4 linked regions of the Callithrix jacchus genome follow. Each later gene encodes a partner of the first gene's protein in a complex. Links are inferred from orthologs where the notes say so. Each region holds a gene or a part of one and is shown on either strand. Other genes may lie near its edges.

The links.
Region 2: the proteins of GNAQ (region 1) and PLCB3 are in contact, whole or in part, in a cryo-EM structure (PDB 8UQO), measured with the Homo sapiens proteins. The link is inferred for Callithrix jacchus from reciprocal best matches to the Homo sapiens genes GNAQ and PLCB3. Residues at the interface, in NP_002063.2 of Homo sapiens: Pro185, Thr186, Thr187, Ile189, Glu191, Pro193, Arg202, Gln209, Arg210, Ser211, Glu212, Arg213, Arg214, Lys215, Trp216, Ile217, His218, Val240, Glu241, Glu245, Glu249, Glu250, Ala253, Leu254, Arg256, Thr257, Ile258, Thr260, Tyr261; in NP_000923.1 of Homo sapiens: Pro257, Arg258, Leu259, Asn260, Glu261, Val262, Leu263, Arg707, Asp709, Lys710, Ile719, Asp721, Gly722, Ile723, Val724, Ala725, Ser845, Asp846, Tyr847, Ile848, Pro849, His852, Tyr855, Ala856, Ala858, Leu859, Ile860, Asn861, Pro862, Ile863.
Region 3: the proteins of GNAQ (region 1) and CCKBR are in contact, whole or in part, in a cryo-EM structure (PDB 7F8W), measured with the Homo sapiens proteins. The link is inferred for Callithrix jacchus from reciprocal best matches to the Homo sapiens genes GNAQ and CCKBR. Residues at the interface, in NP_002063.2 of Homo sapiens: Arg30, Arg34, Asp35, Arg37, Arg38, Leu40, Ser198, Val199, Phe341, Lys345, Asp346, Ile348, Leu349, Gln350, Asn352, Leu353, Lys354, Glu355, Tyr356, Asn357, Leu358, Val359; in NP_795344.1 of Homo sapiens: Thr87, Val88, Thr89, Asn90, Glu151, Arg152, Ala155, Ile156, Pro159, Leu160, Ala162, Arg163, Val164, Trp165, Gln166, Thr167, Ile241, Leu245, Gly248, Leu249, Val331, Leu335, His394, Arg396, Phe397.
Region 4: the proteins of GNAQ (region 1) and CASR are in contact, whole or in part, in a cryo-EM structure (PDB 8SZG), measured with the Homo sapiens proteins. The link is inferred for Callithrix jacchus from reciprocal best matches to the Homo sapiens genes GNAQ and CASR. Residues at the interface, in NP_002063.2 of Homo sapiens: His63, Leu196, Gln197, Ser198, Ile323, Tyr325, Ile337, Arg338, Phe339, Phe341, Ala342, Lys345, Asp346, Ile348, Leu349, Gln350, Leu351, Asn352, Leu353, Glu355, Tyr356, Leu358, Val359; in NP_000379.3 of Homo sapiens: Lys644, Ala645, Asn647, Arg701, Val702, Leu704, Val705, Phe706, Ala708, Lys709, Ile710, Pro711, Thr712, Phe714, Phe801, Arg873, Thr876, Ala877, His879, Ala880, Phe881, Val883, Ala884, Arg886, Ala887, Thr888, Leu889.

The regions. Positions count from the first base shown.
Region 1 is NC_133502.1:104,909,265-104,913,516, forward strand, and holds the start of GNAQ (guanine nucleotide-binding protein G(q) subunit alpha), read left to right. Parts: upstream 1-1,443; 5' UTR 1,444-2,155; coding exon 2,156-2,291; intron 2,292-4,252.
Region 2 is NC_133511.1:121,319,165-121,322,677, forward strand, and holds part of PLCB3 (1-phosphatidylinositol 4,5-bisphosphate phosphodiesterase beta-3), read left to right. Parts: intron 1-1,125; coding exon 1,126-1,222; intron 1,223-1,306; coding exon 1,307-1,391; intron 1,392-1,659; coding exon 1,660-1,784; intron 1,785-2,110; coding exon 2,111-2,265; intron 2,266-2,344; coding exon 2,345-2,506; intron 2,507-3,197; coding exon 3,198-3,297; intron 3,298-3,390; coding exon 3,391-3,495; intron 3,496-3,513. UniProt on the Homo sapiens protein: Catalyzes the production of the second messenger molecules diacylglycerol (DAG) and inositol 1,4,5-trisphosphate (IP3).
Region 3 is NC_133511.1:71,937,177-71,940,689, reverse strand, and holds the end of CCKBR (gastrin/cholecystokinin type B receptor), read right to left. Parts: intron 2,547-3,513; coding exon 2,295-2,546; intron 2,128-2,294; coding exon 1,878-2,127; intron 1,583-1,877; coding exon 1,410-1,582; intron 1,224-1,409; coding exon 685-1,223; 3' UTR 105-684; downstream 1-104. UniProt on the Homo sapiens protein: Receptor for gastrin and cholecystokinin. The CCK-B receptors occur throughout the central nervous system where they modulate anxiety, analgesia, arousal, and neuroleptic activity.
Region 4 is NC_133516.1:80,726,748-80,730,260, reverse strand, and holds part of CASR (extracellular calcium-sensing receptor), read left to right. Parts: intron 1-3,367; coding exon 3,368-3,491; intron 3,492-3,513. UniProt on the Homo sapiens protein: G-protein-coupled receptor that senses changes in the extracellular concentration of calcium ions and plays a key role in maintaining calcium homeostasis.

The DNA.
Region 1 (4,252 bases):
AGGACGTTAACACACCTGTTGTCTAAGAAGCCTATGTGAATTCTTGATCTGTAGCAAAAGCAAAGTCATGAACTGTACTTTACACTCCGGATCAGCAGGTTGCACTAGGGACACTGCAGAGAACACATGAAACGTGAAAAGGTGGTTTTCTTCATAAAAGCCCATTTTCTTTGAAGACCTCAGGTTCCTTTAAGGCAGGAAGTAACATGAGTTTCACCTCCTGTAGCTATTAAACCAAATAAAACCTGATTGAGCAAGATTATTTTCGTGTGCTATTTATCAGTAGACGATCACAATGAAATATGCATACGACAGTTAACTGCCTCAAATATGGCAAACCAAAATAAAAAAAATAGAATGCCATTTTGCTGAGGTCATCTTAGTTTCTATTCTATTTCATTCTTTCCATTTATTCCACATTATTTTACATTTTCCCGGAAGTCATCCATAATTCAGTGTAGAAGGGTAAATTCGATTACTTGGCAGCTAAACATGGTGTGCCCTGTCAGAAACAAGAAGACTTGTAAAACAAAATCAAAAACAACTTCCCAAAACGCCCCAATACAACAAAAAACCAACAACCGAAAAAACAAAGGCATGGAAAGCTGGAACCTATCTGGGGGCTTTTGGAAACTTGGGCAGCTTCCTTTCTCTGCTCAGGATTTAGATTTCTATCTCCCGTTACTTTGTGAACTGCTTCTCCTGTGAATTTCCCCCCCCCCGCTACGCCTCCGGACACCGGTGCCAGTTCCTTCCCTTCCTCAGTCGCCTCCCCACAGTAGAGAGGATCTTATTTTATAAGACTGCACCGGGGTCAGAGGTGATGTGCGAGAGTTTCTAACCGAATGGCGTTTTAGAAATAGGAACGGGAAACATAGAAGCGGCTGAGGAGCGTCCCCGCGGAGCAGACGGGCAGGGCCCTGGAGCGACGGACGCCAGCGCCGGCGCCGCGGGGAGCGCGTGCGGGACTCCGCGGGGCCGCCTACCGCGACTTCAGCAGGGGCCGCGGCCGCGCTCCCGGGCCGGTGGGCTGAGGCAGGCAGAGGCCGCCATATTCCCGCCTTACCACGCCCGGCCGGCCGGCAGCCGGAGGTAAGCGGCGGCTCTGACAAGCAGCGGCGGCCGCTGCCTCCGGCCGCGCGGCGGCGACCCGGCCCGGCCCCGGCTGGGGGCAGCCGTGACCGCTGCGCTCGCGGCCTCTGCCCAGGGTGCGAAAGCAGGAGGCACCAGCAGAGCCCGAGGGGGCCGGCCCAACCGGGTAGCCGCGCGGGCGAGGCGAGAGCCGCACTGGGAGGCGCGCCGCGGCGGCCGCGAGCCCAGGAAAGCGTTCCGGGAGGGGCCGGGCGGCACCGCCTCCCGGCTCCCCTCCTCCCGCGCCTGTCCCCTCCGCCTCCTCCCCCTCCTCCTTTCGCCGCCGCCTCTTCCCTCCCGGATCTGTGCTCCAGTTCAGAGAAAGAAGAAAATGTGTGTGTGTGGCGAGGGGGAGGGCGCGCACTGAGCAGCCGCTCCGCGCCTGGCAATCGGGGCAGGGGGCGGGCGTCTGGCGAAGGCGGAGGCGGAGGCGGGGGCGGAGGAGCGCGCGGCTGCCGGGCGGGCCGGGAACCGGGTCTGCGCGCGAGCCGGGCGGTGGGCGCGGACAGGGCCGAGGGCGCCCGGGAGCCGTGTCAGGCGGCGGCGAGGAGCGGGCGCGCCGGGCGCGGGAAGCCGTCGGCGGCCGCTCGCTGCGGGGACACCCCGGTGGATGAGCTCTCGCCGCCAGGCGCACGGCGTAGGGGAGCCTCGCAGGCGGCGGCGGCGGCGGCGCGGGGGGCGAGGCGGGACGCCCATTCTCGGGGAAGGAGGCGCGGGCGTCTGAGCGAGGCCGGGCGCGGCGGCCTTCCCTCACTCGCCCCCCGAGCCAGCGCCCGCCTCCCGCGCCCGCCTCGCTTCTCCAGTCGGCCCAGGCAGTTCGCTCCCGCCGCGCCCCCGGCCCACCTGGTGGCCCCGGCCCTGGCCGCGGCAGTCGCGGCGGTTCCGGGAGCTCGTACCGGACGCGCGCCCGGGCGGCGGGGACTCGGCGGCCACCGCTGCCTCGGGGGAGCGAGGGCGGGAGGGTGTGTGTGCGCGCTGTGAGCAGGGGGTGCCGGTGGGGCTGCAGCGGAGGCACTTTGGAAGAATGACTCTGGAGTCCATCATGGCGTGCTGCCTGAGTGAGGAGGCCAAGGAAGCCCGGAGGATCAACGATGAGATCGAGCGGCAGCTCCGCAGGGACAAACGGGACGCCCGCCGGGAGCTCAAGCTGCTGCTGCTCGGTGAGTACCGCCCGGGGCCGACCGCCGCGGGTCCTCCCGCCGGGCCTCTGCGAACCCCCGCCCACCACCCCCGGCCCCGCGGGGCAGCTGCCCTCGGCGTCCCCCGCCCCCCGGCGCCCGGGACTTGCCCCTACCCTCCCGGGCGCGCCCCCGGCCACTGCCTTCACCCGCGCGGGTGCGCGGGCGCGTACACACACGCACGCAGCAGAGGGGTCGGGCTGCCCTGCCCGGTGCCTCGGCTTGTTCCTTTTCGTATCCCTGAGGGCTGTGCCTTATCTGCTGTGCATCTGCTAAATGGCAGATCACTCTGGCCAGAGGCGCAGGGGTGGAAAGGTGGGCAGAGGGATTGAATTTCTAGTGCCGTGACCGCGGCTTCCCGTGGGTTGGTGGCGTGGGGAGCCGTGTGTGTGGCCCAGCGGGTGGCGAGCCGAGCCCGGGACACATTGGGGGATGGCCTGCGCCGGGGTGGCTGGTGTGCATCCAAGATCAGTGTCCTCTGGGGTCAGGAGGGAATGGGGGAACGGCGGGCAGACTCGCAACTGGATTCCCAGAGCAGTGATGACGAGGAAACCAAGTGGTTGGCCCTCCAAAGAAAGGGCCTGTGTATTGGGGGCGGGGCGGGGCGGGAGGGCCAGCCCAAATGTGTCACACAAGAGCTGTTCTCTAGCCACCAAACCTTCGAAAGGAGGGAGCCTAGAAGAGTTTCTTGGCCAGTGGATGGTGACAGGCGTGTTTCTCGTCTGCACCATTCCTTCTAGATAAAGATGAGGGATAGGGGAGCGTTGTACTGTGTGGTTGTTGACAGCGACCGGTATCTTTTGTTTAATGAGGCAACCCAGATGTAGGCCTGAATTCACAATAGTTACTGCTGAAAACCAATGTAGCCTCTCAATTACTCCCATGGCAACAAATAGAAGCCTTTTGTTTAAAACAGATAGCAGTTTAATATCTTTGGAATCTAGGCTAGAAGGAAAACGGTAAGCATACAGGAAAAATTTCCCTCTAGTCTTGAAAAAAAAAATCATTCTGCTTTAACACGAAGTTAGCAAGAAAATGCCATTTCTCAAATTGGAATTTATTGATTATTATCTCTGAGAGGATGTTCAGAATCAAGTGATCGAGGTTCACATACAAACCAGAGCGACAGAACCCTGAGCTATTGGGATAGGAAGAGCAAAGAGCTTTGCAGTAACAGACTTGAAAAATGACTGCCCTTGAGTTCTGGATATTTGCATGTATAATTGTATAATAAATATGTTTCTCAAACATTTCTGTAAGAAAAGAATATTGTGCTGTCAGTTGATGTTTGAGAAGCATGCATTTTCTTTCTTATCTTGAGCATTCCATTTGCTGGCTCAAGGAACCAATTGCCTTTGGAAATGAACTGCTTATGTACTGGACCATTTACAAGCAAGAACAAAATACACTGATCACACCAATAGTTACTAATGGTTAATTTACATGACATGCTTTCTTTATGTCTTCATTTTGAAACTCTAGATAAATGTGCACATGTTTACAAAAAACAGAAGGCAAAGCACTGTATGAAAGAGGTGGGCTTAGGGGAAGAGGAATACTGACGCTGGAAAGTAAAGATTTTTTTTTTTTTAATTCTCATTTTTGAGATACTTCTAATGACTGAAAACGGTCAGTTGAATGTTTTCTGAGTTCTCAAGATTGAGAAGAAAAGAGCGAAAAAGAGAAATACATAGAGTGTTTAAGTGCATGGTTAAGGTGAAAAGCACGGATTTTAGAGAGACTTATTTTAAGAATTTTTTTTTTCTTCTGTTGCCCTGTTGACAGTCTTTGATTCTGTTTAACTGTGAACTGGGCAGTTGAGGTCTCTCCAGCCAACCCAGTTTGCCTGAAAAGTGACAGCTCTGGGTTTCCCAGCAGTTAAGAGTTAAAGCCCAGGGGGGTTGTCAAGGGCCTAGGTTTGAATGTCTAAGGGAAATACACTT
Region 2 (3,513 bases), on another chromosome or scaffold:
CATGGGAAGCGTTGAGGAGCTGTGAGGAGTGGTACAGAAAAACTCAGTCTGAGCCGGGTGTGGTGGCTCATACCTCTAAGCCCAGCTACTTGGGAGGCAGAGGCATAAGAATTGCTTGAACCTGGGAGGTGGAGGTTGCAGTGAGCTGAGATTGTGCCACTGCACTCCAGCCAGGGAGACCGTGTCTCAAAACCCAAACCAAACAGATATTGCTATAAAGACAATTACTGGGGAACTAGTGAAGTTTAAAGAGGGGCTGCATATTAGATCGCACGTTAATGTCTGTTTCCCGAACTGAATATTGTACTGGAGTTACCTAAGAGAATGTCCATGCATGCTCATGTATTTACGGGTAAAGGGCATGATGTCTGCAGTTTACTCCCAAATGACTCAGCAAAAGTAATGACAATTGTAACACCTACACAGGCCAAGTGAGGGGCTCACGCCTGTAATCCTAGCACTTTGGGAGGCCGAGGTGGGAGGCTTGCCTGAGGTTGGGAGTTCAAGACCAGCCTGGCCAACATGGTGAAACCCCGTCTCTACTACAAATACATAAATTAGCCTGTCAAGATGGCGGGCGCCTGTAGTCCCAGCTACTTGGGAGGCTGAGGCAGGAAAATTGCTTGAGCCGGGGAGGAAGCGGAGGCTGCAGTGAGATTGCACCATTGCACTCCATCCTGAAAGACGAAAGAGCAAGACTCTGTCTTAAAAAAAAAAAAGTCAGTCTGGCTGTCATAAGAGGTCAGATCCGAGAGGAGCCCAGAGGAAGGGAAGGTGTGGTGAGGGGTGCCCAGAAGTCACCATTGGAAGGGCTGAGTTTGAGGGTCCTGTGAGCCACCTGAGAGGAGGCGGCAAGGTGGGGACTGGAGACGGGCTGGGAATGGATGTAACTGAACCCCTGGGCGTGGGGGTGACGGGCTCCAGTCTCTGAGGATCAGGGAGAAGAGGAGTGGCTGGGTGGCGTCCAGGGCGCATCAGTGGGACCCTGGGGAGAAGAGTGTGGGCACCAGCAGCGGTGCATGTGTAGTGATGGGAAGAGGGTCAGCGCCTCTTTCATGGGGGGCAGGTGAGGGGCTGTCCCCTGTGGTGGGAGTGGCACTGCTGACCCTGGGTTGGGGCCCACAGGGCACAGCCAGCAGCGAGGTCAATGCCACCGAGGAGATGTCCACGCTTGTCAACTACATTGAGCCTGTCAAGTTCAAGTCTTTTGAGGCTGCTCGAAGTGAGTAGGCGTGGGCGGCTGGTGTGGGAGCTTGCCCAGCTTATCCCTGCCAGGCCTGACGCCCTCTCCTGGCTCACCCCACAGAGAGGAACAAATGCTTCGAGATGTCGTCCTTCGTGGAGACCAAGGCCATGGAGCAGCTAACCAAGAGCCCCATGGAGTTTGTGGAGTATCCTTTCAAGGCACCGTGGGCGGGCAGGCCAGGGTGGAGTGTCCTGTCCCCGCGTGCGCCTCCTGCACAGGCTGCTGGTCCTCCTGTGGCCCCCGTGCACCCTGGCCTAGGGCTTGGGCAGGTCCAGGCAGTCTCAAGGGGATGGTGAGGCTGAGAAACGGAGGGGCTGGATGTGGGGGGTCACAGGAGCACCTGGCTGAGGCAGGAGGTGGAGGCTGACAGGGTGGGCCCTGGCACCCGTGTGGCCCCTGACCGCCAACCTCAGATACAACAAGCAGCAGCTCAGCCGCATCTACCCCAAGGGCACCCGTGTGGACTCCTCCAACTATATGCCCCAGCTCTTCTGGAACGTGGGGTGCCAGCTTGTTGCACTCAACTTCCAGACCCTGGGTGAGCCCTGGGCTCCGTCTTGACCCTCACCCTCAGTCTTGCTGACTCTGACCCGCGATGCTGCTGGTCTTGCCTAAATGGATTTATGACCCTGTCTAATCCCAGATTCCAGGCGAACCCAGCCCCCGACTCACCCTGCCTCCTGCCTTTGACACGCCAGACCCCTCCCCTGTCTGATCTGCCCCGGATCTGGACCCCGATGCCATTTGAACCCACCCCTGACCCTGGGCCTTGGATGCCATCTGACCCCTGATGATCTCCTGTTCCCCCACATGGCACTGTCCCGCCTGATGCCTGCCCTGCTTGACTTGGCCCCGCTGCCCCAGATGTGGCGATGCAGCTTAACGCGGGCGTGTTCGAGTACAACGGGCGCAGCGGGTACCTGCTCAAGCCAGAGTTCATGCGGCGGCCGGACAAGTCCTTCGACCCCTTCACTGAAGTCATCGTGGATGGCATTGTAGCCAATGCCTTGCGGGTCAAGGTGGGGTCTGGGAGGGCTCAGGCCGGGGGTGTCCTTGGGGCAGGACTCTCGCAGCGGCCTCACCCTCCCTGCTCCCCAGGTGATCTCGGGGCAGTTCCTGTCCGACAGGAAGGTGGGCATCTATGTGGAGGTGGACATGTTTGGCCTCCCTGTTGACACGCGGCGCAAGTACCGCACCCGGACCTCTCAGGGGAACTCCTTCAACCCTGTGTGGGACGAGGAGCCGTTTGCCTTCCCCAAGGTGAGCCGGGCGCCCTCGCCCACGCAGGCACAGGCAGATCCAGACCCGACTGCCCCGGCTCTCAGGTGGGAGAACAGGAACCAGACAGGCTGTTAGTGACTGGGGATCAGAAAGTGGGGGGCGCCCGGGGTCTGCCAGGACCTGCCTTTCCCAGTGTCAGGCTCCCTGTCCTCCTCAGGGGAAGAGACGAGGGTGAGAAGGTGAGATGGGGGTGGGGGAGTGCCAGCTAGAGGTCTTGTGTCCCCTGCAAGGAGTGGACAGAGCCTGCCCTATCTGCAAGGCAGGAGCTGAGGTCACAACCCCAAGCTCACGTCCGCTCTTCTACACCTCCCACAGCCCCGCATGGATGCAGCCTCTGCTCCCAACCTGGGTGGTGTGTTTGCAGCTTCCTACTCGTGGCTCACTCCGTTTCTAAATTGGAGATGACCAGAGCTGTCTGTAGGGGCCCTAGGGGCCTGGTTGCCTGTCGTCTTGCCACGGGGTGCTGATAGCTGTAGTCATCTACTAGGCCAGGCTGTGGAGGTGGGGTCAGCCCTCAGCTCATGGTGATGGTGACTGATGGACAGTGGGTCAGCTCAGCTAAAGGTCTGCTGTTAGGCTTTGACGGCTGTGGTTAGCTGTGGCCTGGTGGCCACAGTGGCCACAGTGGTTCGGGGTCAGCCCCGTGGCTCAGCTCCGGTCTGGCCCGCAGGTGGTGCTGCCCACGCTGGCTTCGCTTCGCATCGCAGCCTTTGAGGAGGGCGGCAAATTTGTGGGGCACCGGATCCTGCCTGTCTCTGCCATCCGCTCCGGTGAGGCCTTGGTGGGCTCTGGGCAGCCCAATGGGCAGTGGGTAGGGGCTCCGCCGGACCCAGCAACCCAACATTGGCCTCCTGCCCGCCCAGGGTACCACTATGTCTGCCTGCGGAACGAGGCCAACCAACCGCTGTGTCTGCCGGCCCTACTCATCTACACCGAGGCCTCGGACTACATTCCTGATGACCACCAGGGTGAGCCATGCCTTGGGG
Region 3 (3,513 bases), on another chromosome or scaffold:
GGGGTTGCCACAGTGGTGTGCAACAGTGGGAGAGACCCGACAGAAGGATATAATTGTAAAATCCTGTGCCCCATCACCTGCCCCAAAAGAATCCAGAAAGGAAGTTCAGGAGGCAGTCAAATAATTTATTATTTCTTGAAGAGTCTGGGTAAGGAAGGAGAGGGCAGGGCCACCATCCTTAACTGGAAAGGGGTGAAGAGACTTTTCAGTGCAGAACAGCCTGTTGGTCAGAGGTATGAGATTATGCCTGATGGTAGTTTCAGTGCTGATTGGGAAAGAGGATTGTGAGGTCAAACTGGGAGCATCCCAGAGTCAGTCCTGTGCCAGGCTCCATAGTCCCTAAAACGATCAATGCCATTAATCTATGTGTGTGAGAAGCAGGTAAGCCCTTGTCAGAGTTCCCACTGTGTAGAAACAGTTCACTGCTAGGGATGCTGTGTCTAAGACGCCTGCCATGTTTCTATGGGCAAGGCTCAGTCCCATATCAGAGGTGTGCCTCCTTTTTTGAGTAGGCTCCATTCTTATTTCTCTTGTGTCAGGTAAGCTACCTTTTCCTGTGCTTGCGGTTAGTCCATGCTACTGGGTGTCGGTCTCCTGCATCAGTTGTGGTTTGTGTTTTCAGTGTCTGGAAAGGGTCAGTGCTTGTCATTTTCCCTGCCTCAGCCCCCAGAGCCCCTCCACTCCTCAGCCAGGCCCCAGTGTGCTGATGGTGGTGTAGCTCAGCCTGGAGAGCGAAGCAATAGAGGGAGTGGGAGGGTCCTCATCGGGAAGAGGCCTGGGGCGAGCCCGTGGAGGCCGGGGGCAGCAGCGAGCGCACGTTTCCAGGCAGGCCTGGCGAAAGCGACGGTGCATGAAGCAGTAGACCAGGGGGTTGACACAGGCCGAGGCATAGCTCAGCAAGTGAATGAAGGAGATGGGAGCACCTGAGAGGGCTCGGTGTGCACCTGGGCCATCAAAGGCGCGCCACGTGTTGGCACTATAAACTGGCAACCAACATAGAAAAAAAAGCATGACAATCACCAGCAACATTCGCACCACGCGCTTCTTAGCCAGCAGCTTGGCCTGGGTGGGCCGGGAGCTGTGTCCCGGCCCAGTAGTGGGTGCCACCAGCGCGGAGAGCTCCAGGGCAGGCCGGGAACGTGGAAGCTGCACGTAGCAGCCATCGCTGTCTTCGCCACCCGCACCAGTCTCAGGCCGGCAACGCCCATTCTGGTGAACAGCACCTGAGCACAAAGGGTGGGCAGTCAGAGAAAAAGGCAAGAGTCCTCCCAATCTTCAACCCAATCCCCACCTGAGCTCGCAGGAGCCATAACCCCATTTCCGGCTTTCTCCTTCCATTATTTCAGCCCCACCCACTCCAGCAGGCCCCGTTGCCCTCCAAAGCTCCGCCTCTCCAGGATTTCGCTCACCTGGTCCAGTCCCTCCAGGCAGCCCGCCTTGGCTTCGGACCCTGCTTTGGCTCTCGCTGTCACTGTCGCTGTCAAAGCGAAGCCCTAAGTAGAGCTCGCGGGAGATAAGCCCGTAGGCCACCGCCATCACCACACCCGGGATGAAGAACAAGAGCAGGAGCAGCAGTACGGACCTGGAGGCAACACAGATCACTCGGGTTTCTGTCCAGCTACAATCGCAGATGGAGAAAGGGCCAAGGACTGGTGTTTCTAGGGCTGTGGCCAGGTACAGGTAGGATTTGGGGGTGCCGCTGGGAAGGGAGAGAGAACTGGGGAGGGGACCCAAACTGGAATTCCAGGGCGGTGGATGCAGAATAGGAATTGGCATGGTAATTCTCCGAGCAGCTGGAGGAAGATTCTGAGCAATGGTCTTAAGCATCTAGTGGGGGTGAGAAGGGAAATCCCAGGACAGGTTGTGGGCAAGCTCACCAGGTCTGGCGGACCCGTGCACTGGGCCAGCGATGCACACACTGCAGCACACGAGGTCCCACTGGTTGCACGATAGTGTACACGGGGTAGGGCACCATGAGCAGTCCGGACAGCAGCCACGTGGCTATGATCACGCGAGCTGCATGGGAGCGTGTCTGCCACACTCGCGCCTGCAGTGGTCGGCAGATGGCGCTGTAGCGCTCCAGTGCGATGGCCACGAGGCTTAGCGTGGACACACTCACAGACACCCCTAAGCAGAGGAAGAGAGAGGAAGGAGTCACCCAGGAAACTTGCACTACACAACCATCAGTGGGACTTCCTCATACCCCTCCCTGCCAACTGGGGAAGACTCCTACATCCACAAGGGCTTTAGGAGGGGAGAGTGGCAAGTAGGGATGGCTTGGTTGTCTCACCCACCCATGAGGTAGGAAACAGCCTTGCAGATGACTGTGCCAAAGACGAATGTGCCCATGAGATTGGGCAGGAGAGTGAAGGGCATGCAAGCCACAGCCAGCAGGAGGTCGCTGACTGCCAGTGAGAGGAGGAAGGCATTGGTGACGGTCCTCAGGCGGCGACTCAGTCCCAGGACCACGATGATGAGCACATTTCCTCCAACACTCATCAGGAAGATCACTGCATAAAGAGTGATTCTAACGGCCAGCTCCAATTCTGGGTAAGAAAAGGGAGAGGTGGCAGTAGAGGTCAGCCTTCATTCAGCCAAACCCCTCTCCATCCTTCTTATCCCCAACCCTCACTACCCTGCCAAATGCCTACATTCCCTACTCATGAACTGCTCAGTAAATGGTGAACTTGAATCCTTTAGCCTTCTAACCCCTTGAACTTTGGTTAACTTGGCCCAACTCTACCTTTCATTAAGAAAGCCTGTCTCTCCTCAAGGTTTGTTCCAAATCTTTCCTTCCCTTTGCAGCCAAATTTGTTATGAGGCTATTTGTGTCTTCTCATTCACTCTTCAATCCATTACAATATTCTGTACCCTATCACTGCATACTTCTTCCCAAGTACACTTACCTTTAACTGCTAAATTCAAAGGTCCTTTCTTAGCCTATTCTATTTGACCTTCCTGGAGTATTCTACACTGTTGGCAACCCGCTACCTTTTGAACCACATCAGATCATGTCTTTATTCTCTAAAAACAAAAGGAAAAATCCCTTCACTTACTCTCTACTGTCTGCAACCCCTCAGAATGTCATCAAGATCCTCCCAGAAGGGACCTCTTCCTCCCCACCCTCACTGCCCCCAGCTCCCGGCAATATACTAATTTAAGCAAGCCACTGGATGACTCAGTTTCTTGAATGCATCAATTGCACTTGTGATTCCCTCCCTGCTCAAGTTGGTTTCTCAGCCCAGAATACTCTTTCACCAACTCTCCCCAGAACTTCCACCCCCTATCACAAGCTTATTTTCTGTATCTGGTGAATTCCTATTCCTCCCTTGTTGGTCAAGACTCAAATTGACAGCTATTTCTTCTGTAAGGCCCTTCTGGACACCTCATTTAGTATTACTCTCCCCTTTCTCTAACCCATGCATGTTTCTTGCACAATGATTAAAGCCTATTTTACTTTCTGCCTTGTATTTTAATTCTTTCCAAACATTCATTCTCACTCTATAAACATTT
Region 4 (3,513 bases), on another chromosome or scaffold:
ACGGGTTTCTGATGAGATGCTACAATTTCACTGTTACCCAATATGTAGGATGGGTTATCCCTGGGAAGTTCTCCTATAGACAGTGAATCTTATCTACAGTCTGCAGTTTTTAAATAGCTTCCACCTCAGAGGGTGGATTCTCAATTATAAACATGTCATGAAATTTTCCAGGTGGAGATTTGGGGTTCCAGATGTCTGTCCACTAATGATACCTTTGTCTAACTTATGACACATTTTCACTGACTGAAGTCTAAATTGATCAGCTATACTGCCATCTGTTTAACCCTTGTTGGATCATCCAGGTTATCTTTCACCCCATTAATACATAGAATTGAATTCTCTGATGGTACACGCCTCCTCTCCACTCCAGCAGGGAGCTATTTCCCGTACAGTTCTCCATAACCCTAATGTCCTCTCCCAGACTATGTACATCATGGGCTTAAACATTGATAAACGAATAACACAGGGAATTCTCATAAATTCAATCACCGATGTTCCTGGAATATTTGACGGAGTTATAAGTTAAATCTAATTTTTTCTTAGAAACATTACCTCAACTCTAGCATGCAGTAGATACTCAACAAGTCTTAGAATCTAGTCTGTTATTTTCTGTACTTTTTGTGGAAATGACCACAAGAATACCATCTATATTTAACTATAAATTACATATTAATGACTACTCAGATTCAAGATGACATTTTCCAGCCTTCTTTTCTACTAAGTGTGGCCCTGTGACTAAATCCTGAAGTGATGTAAGTGACAGTGTTGTGGGATGGCTTCTGGGAACCTTCAAGAAAGCACTTGCAAGTATTCTTTGCTCTCTTCTTCATCCCTTCCTCTGTCTTGCCTCCTGGAAACCAAATGCCTCTATTAGGGACTATAAGGCAAAGACAAACATGTCAGAACCACCAGGTAGAAAGAGTATAGGTGTCCAACATTGTGGAGGGCTGTATCACTCTGGACCACATCCCTAGACATTTATACAAGAGAGAAATATAGTTCAGTCTTGTTGGAGTTGTTCTTTTGAGATTTTTGGCACTCTCAGCCTACCAGAAACCAAGAAGGAAAGCTACTAAACCTATTTTGTGATGATAATATAATCTTGATATCAAAAACATGTAGAATAGTACAAGCAAAGACAATTATAGGACAATATTGTTTATATATGTAGACGCTCAAGTCCTAAGTAAAACATCAGCAAACATAGACCAGCAATGTGTAAAATAATATCAGATCCTAGAAGACTTAGCAGTGAATGTACAGGAATGTAATGATAGCCAAACATTACAAAGTTCATAAATGTAGCTTATTACATTAGTAGAATAAAAGATCAAAGTCCTACAATGTCAGAAGACACGGGGAAAATATCCATTAACATTCAACACCGTCTCAGGTTAAAAACAAAAATTTCATTAATATACGAGTAGAAGGGAATCTCGCTTTACCGTGATAGAGGATGCAGCAACTATAATTTTTTTTGCATTTTAATTTATTTTAAGTTCTGGGGTACATGTGCAGAATGTGCAAATTTGTTACATAGGTAAACGTGTGCCATGGTGCTACACCTACCAACCCATCACCTGGGTATTAAGCCCAGCATGCACTAGTTCTTTTCCCTAATGCATTCCATCCCCCTCCCTTCCCTGACAGCTCCAGTGAATGTTGTTCCCCACCCTGTGTCCATGTGATCCTGTTGTTCAACTCCCACTTAGAATTGGGAACATGAGGTGTTTGGTTTTCTTTTCCTGCAAAATGTAATTTGTAACATAAAGACAAAAACCACATGATTATCTCAATAGATGCAGAAGAAACCATCAATAAAATTCAACATCCCTTCATGTTAAAAGCTCTCAATAAACTAGGTATTGAAGGAACATACTTCAAAATAATCAGAGCCATTTATGACAAACCCATCGCCAGTATCATACTGAATAGGCAAAAACTGGAAGTATTGTCCTTGAAAACTGCCACAAGACAAGGATGCCTGTCTCATCACTTTTATTCAACATAGTATTGGTAGTTCTGGCCAGGGAAATCGGGCAAGAGAAAGAAATAAAGGATATTCAAATAGGAAGAGAGGAAGCAATCATTATTCTTTAATGGGAAAAATTGAGAAGCATTCCTAGTGTGGCTTTGGGAAACAGGGCTCATAGTTTTCATTCAGTGGTCAAATGGGTTGGCAACTCAAGAAGGATCGAGAGCACATCTCTGGGGATACCTTGTCACCATATCTGAAGATGCTGATGTAAGTTGTCCTTTTCCTTCCCCGCCCCTTCCTATCCCTGGGTCATAAGAGTCTTTGCAAACATCAGGTCCAATATTGCCTTTCCATTCCTCATTCCTTAAAGATAATGTTAATCATCTTCTATTGAAGTTTTCTAAAACTCCTTTGTCAAGTCAGTCATTTCTGCTAGAAACAATGACAGTTATTTTACTGCTTTGCATATTTGTAAGACATCTTACAAAGTAGTAGGTAGAGGGGAGACTCATTAAATAGACATTATGGACATAGTAAGAGCCCCACTATGTATGAAGCGTTACTCCAGGCTTTGTACCTGGGGTTACAAAAATGAGTGAGAAGTGCTCTCTACCTTTAAGATACATATGCTGTTGCATATGTATGGGTTTTCTTTGTGGCAACCATATTTTCTGCAAATAATTACAGTTTTATTTGGTCCCTTTCAAAATGTATGCACTTATTTTTCTCATCTGATTCCACTAACTAGGCCCTCCAATGCAGAATTAAAGAGTAGTGGTGATAGTGGACATCCTTGTTTTAAAGGGAAATGCATTTAATATTTTCTCTATACAGATGATGTTTACTATAAGAGGTTTTTGGTACCCTTTTTCGAGTTAAATATATGCTTTTTCTTTATCTATTGATCATATGATGTTTTTCTCCATTAATTTGTTAATTTAGTGAATAATACTTATAGATTTTTCTAATATTAGATTTTTTTGCATTCCTGGGCATAAACCCAACTCAGTCATGATGCATTTTCCTTCTTATGTCCTTTGAGTCTGTTGGCTAGTGTTTTAGGATTTTTCATTCTGTTTTCAAGTAGTAGAAAGTAGTGGTACTCTTCCCAGATCATCATAGAATCCCATGAGTGTGTGTGTATGTATGTGTGCATGCACATGTGTGTGTTGGCCTGTGCACACTTGCCCATAGGCATCTGTCCCTTTCACAGAGATCAGAACCAAGGACTTCTGGACCTCCCTTTGCCTGGAACGGGCCCAGTATCTGCCACACTGATTCTTGTGCCCCAACTCCAACTCCTCCCTCTTAAATGTTTTGAAGAGGCTGTAGGGCTGGCCCCTGACCCTAGAGCTCTAGCCAGTCACTTTTGTGCTGTTGGTCCTCCAGGTGCCCTTCTCCAACTGCAGTCGAGACTGCCTGGCCGGGACCAGGAAAGGGATCATTGAGGGGGAGCCCACCTGCTGCTTTGAGTGTGTGGAGTGTCCTGATGGGGAGTACAGCGACGAGACAGGTAAAAGAACCCTTCTTGTGCA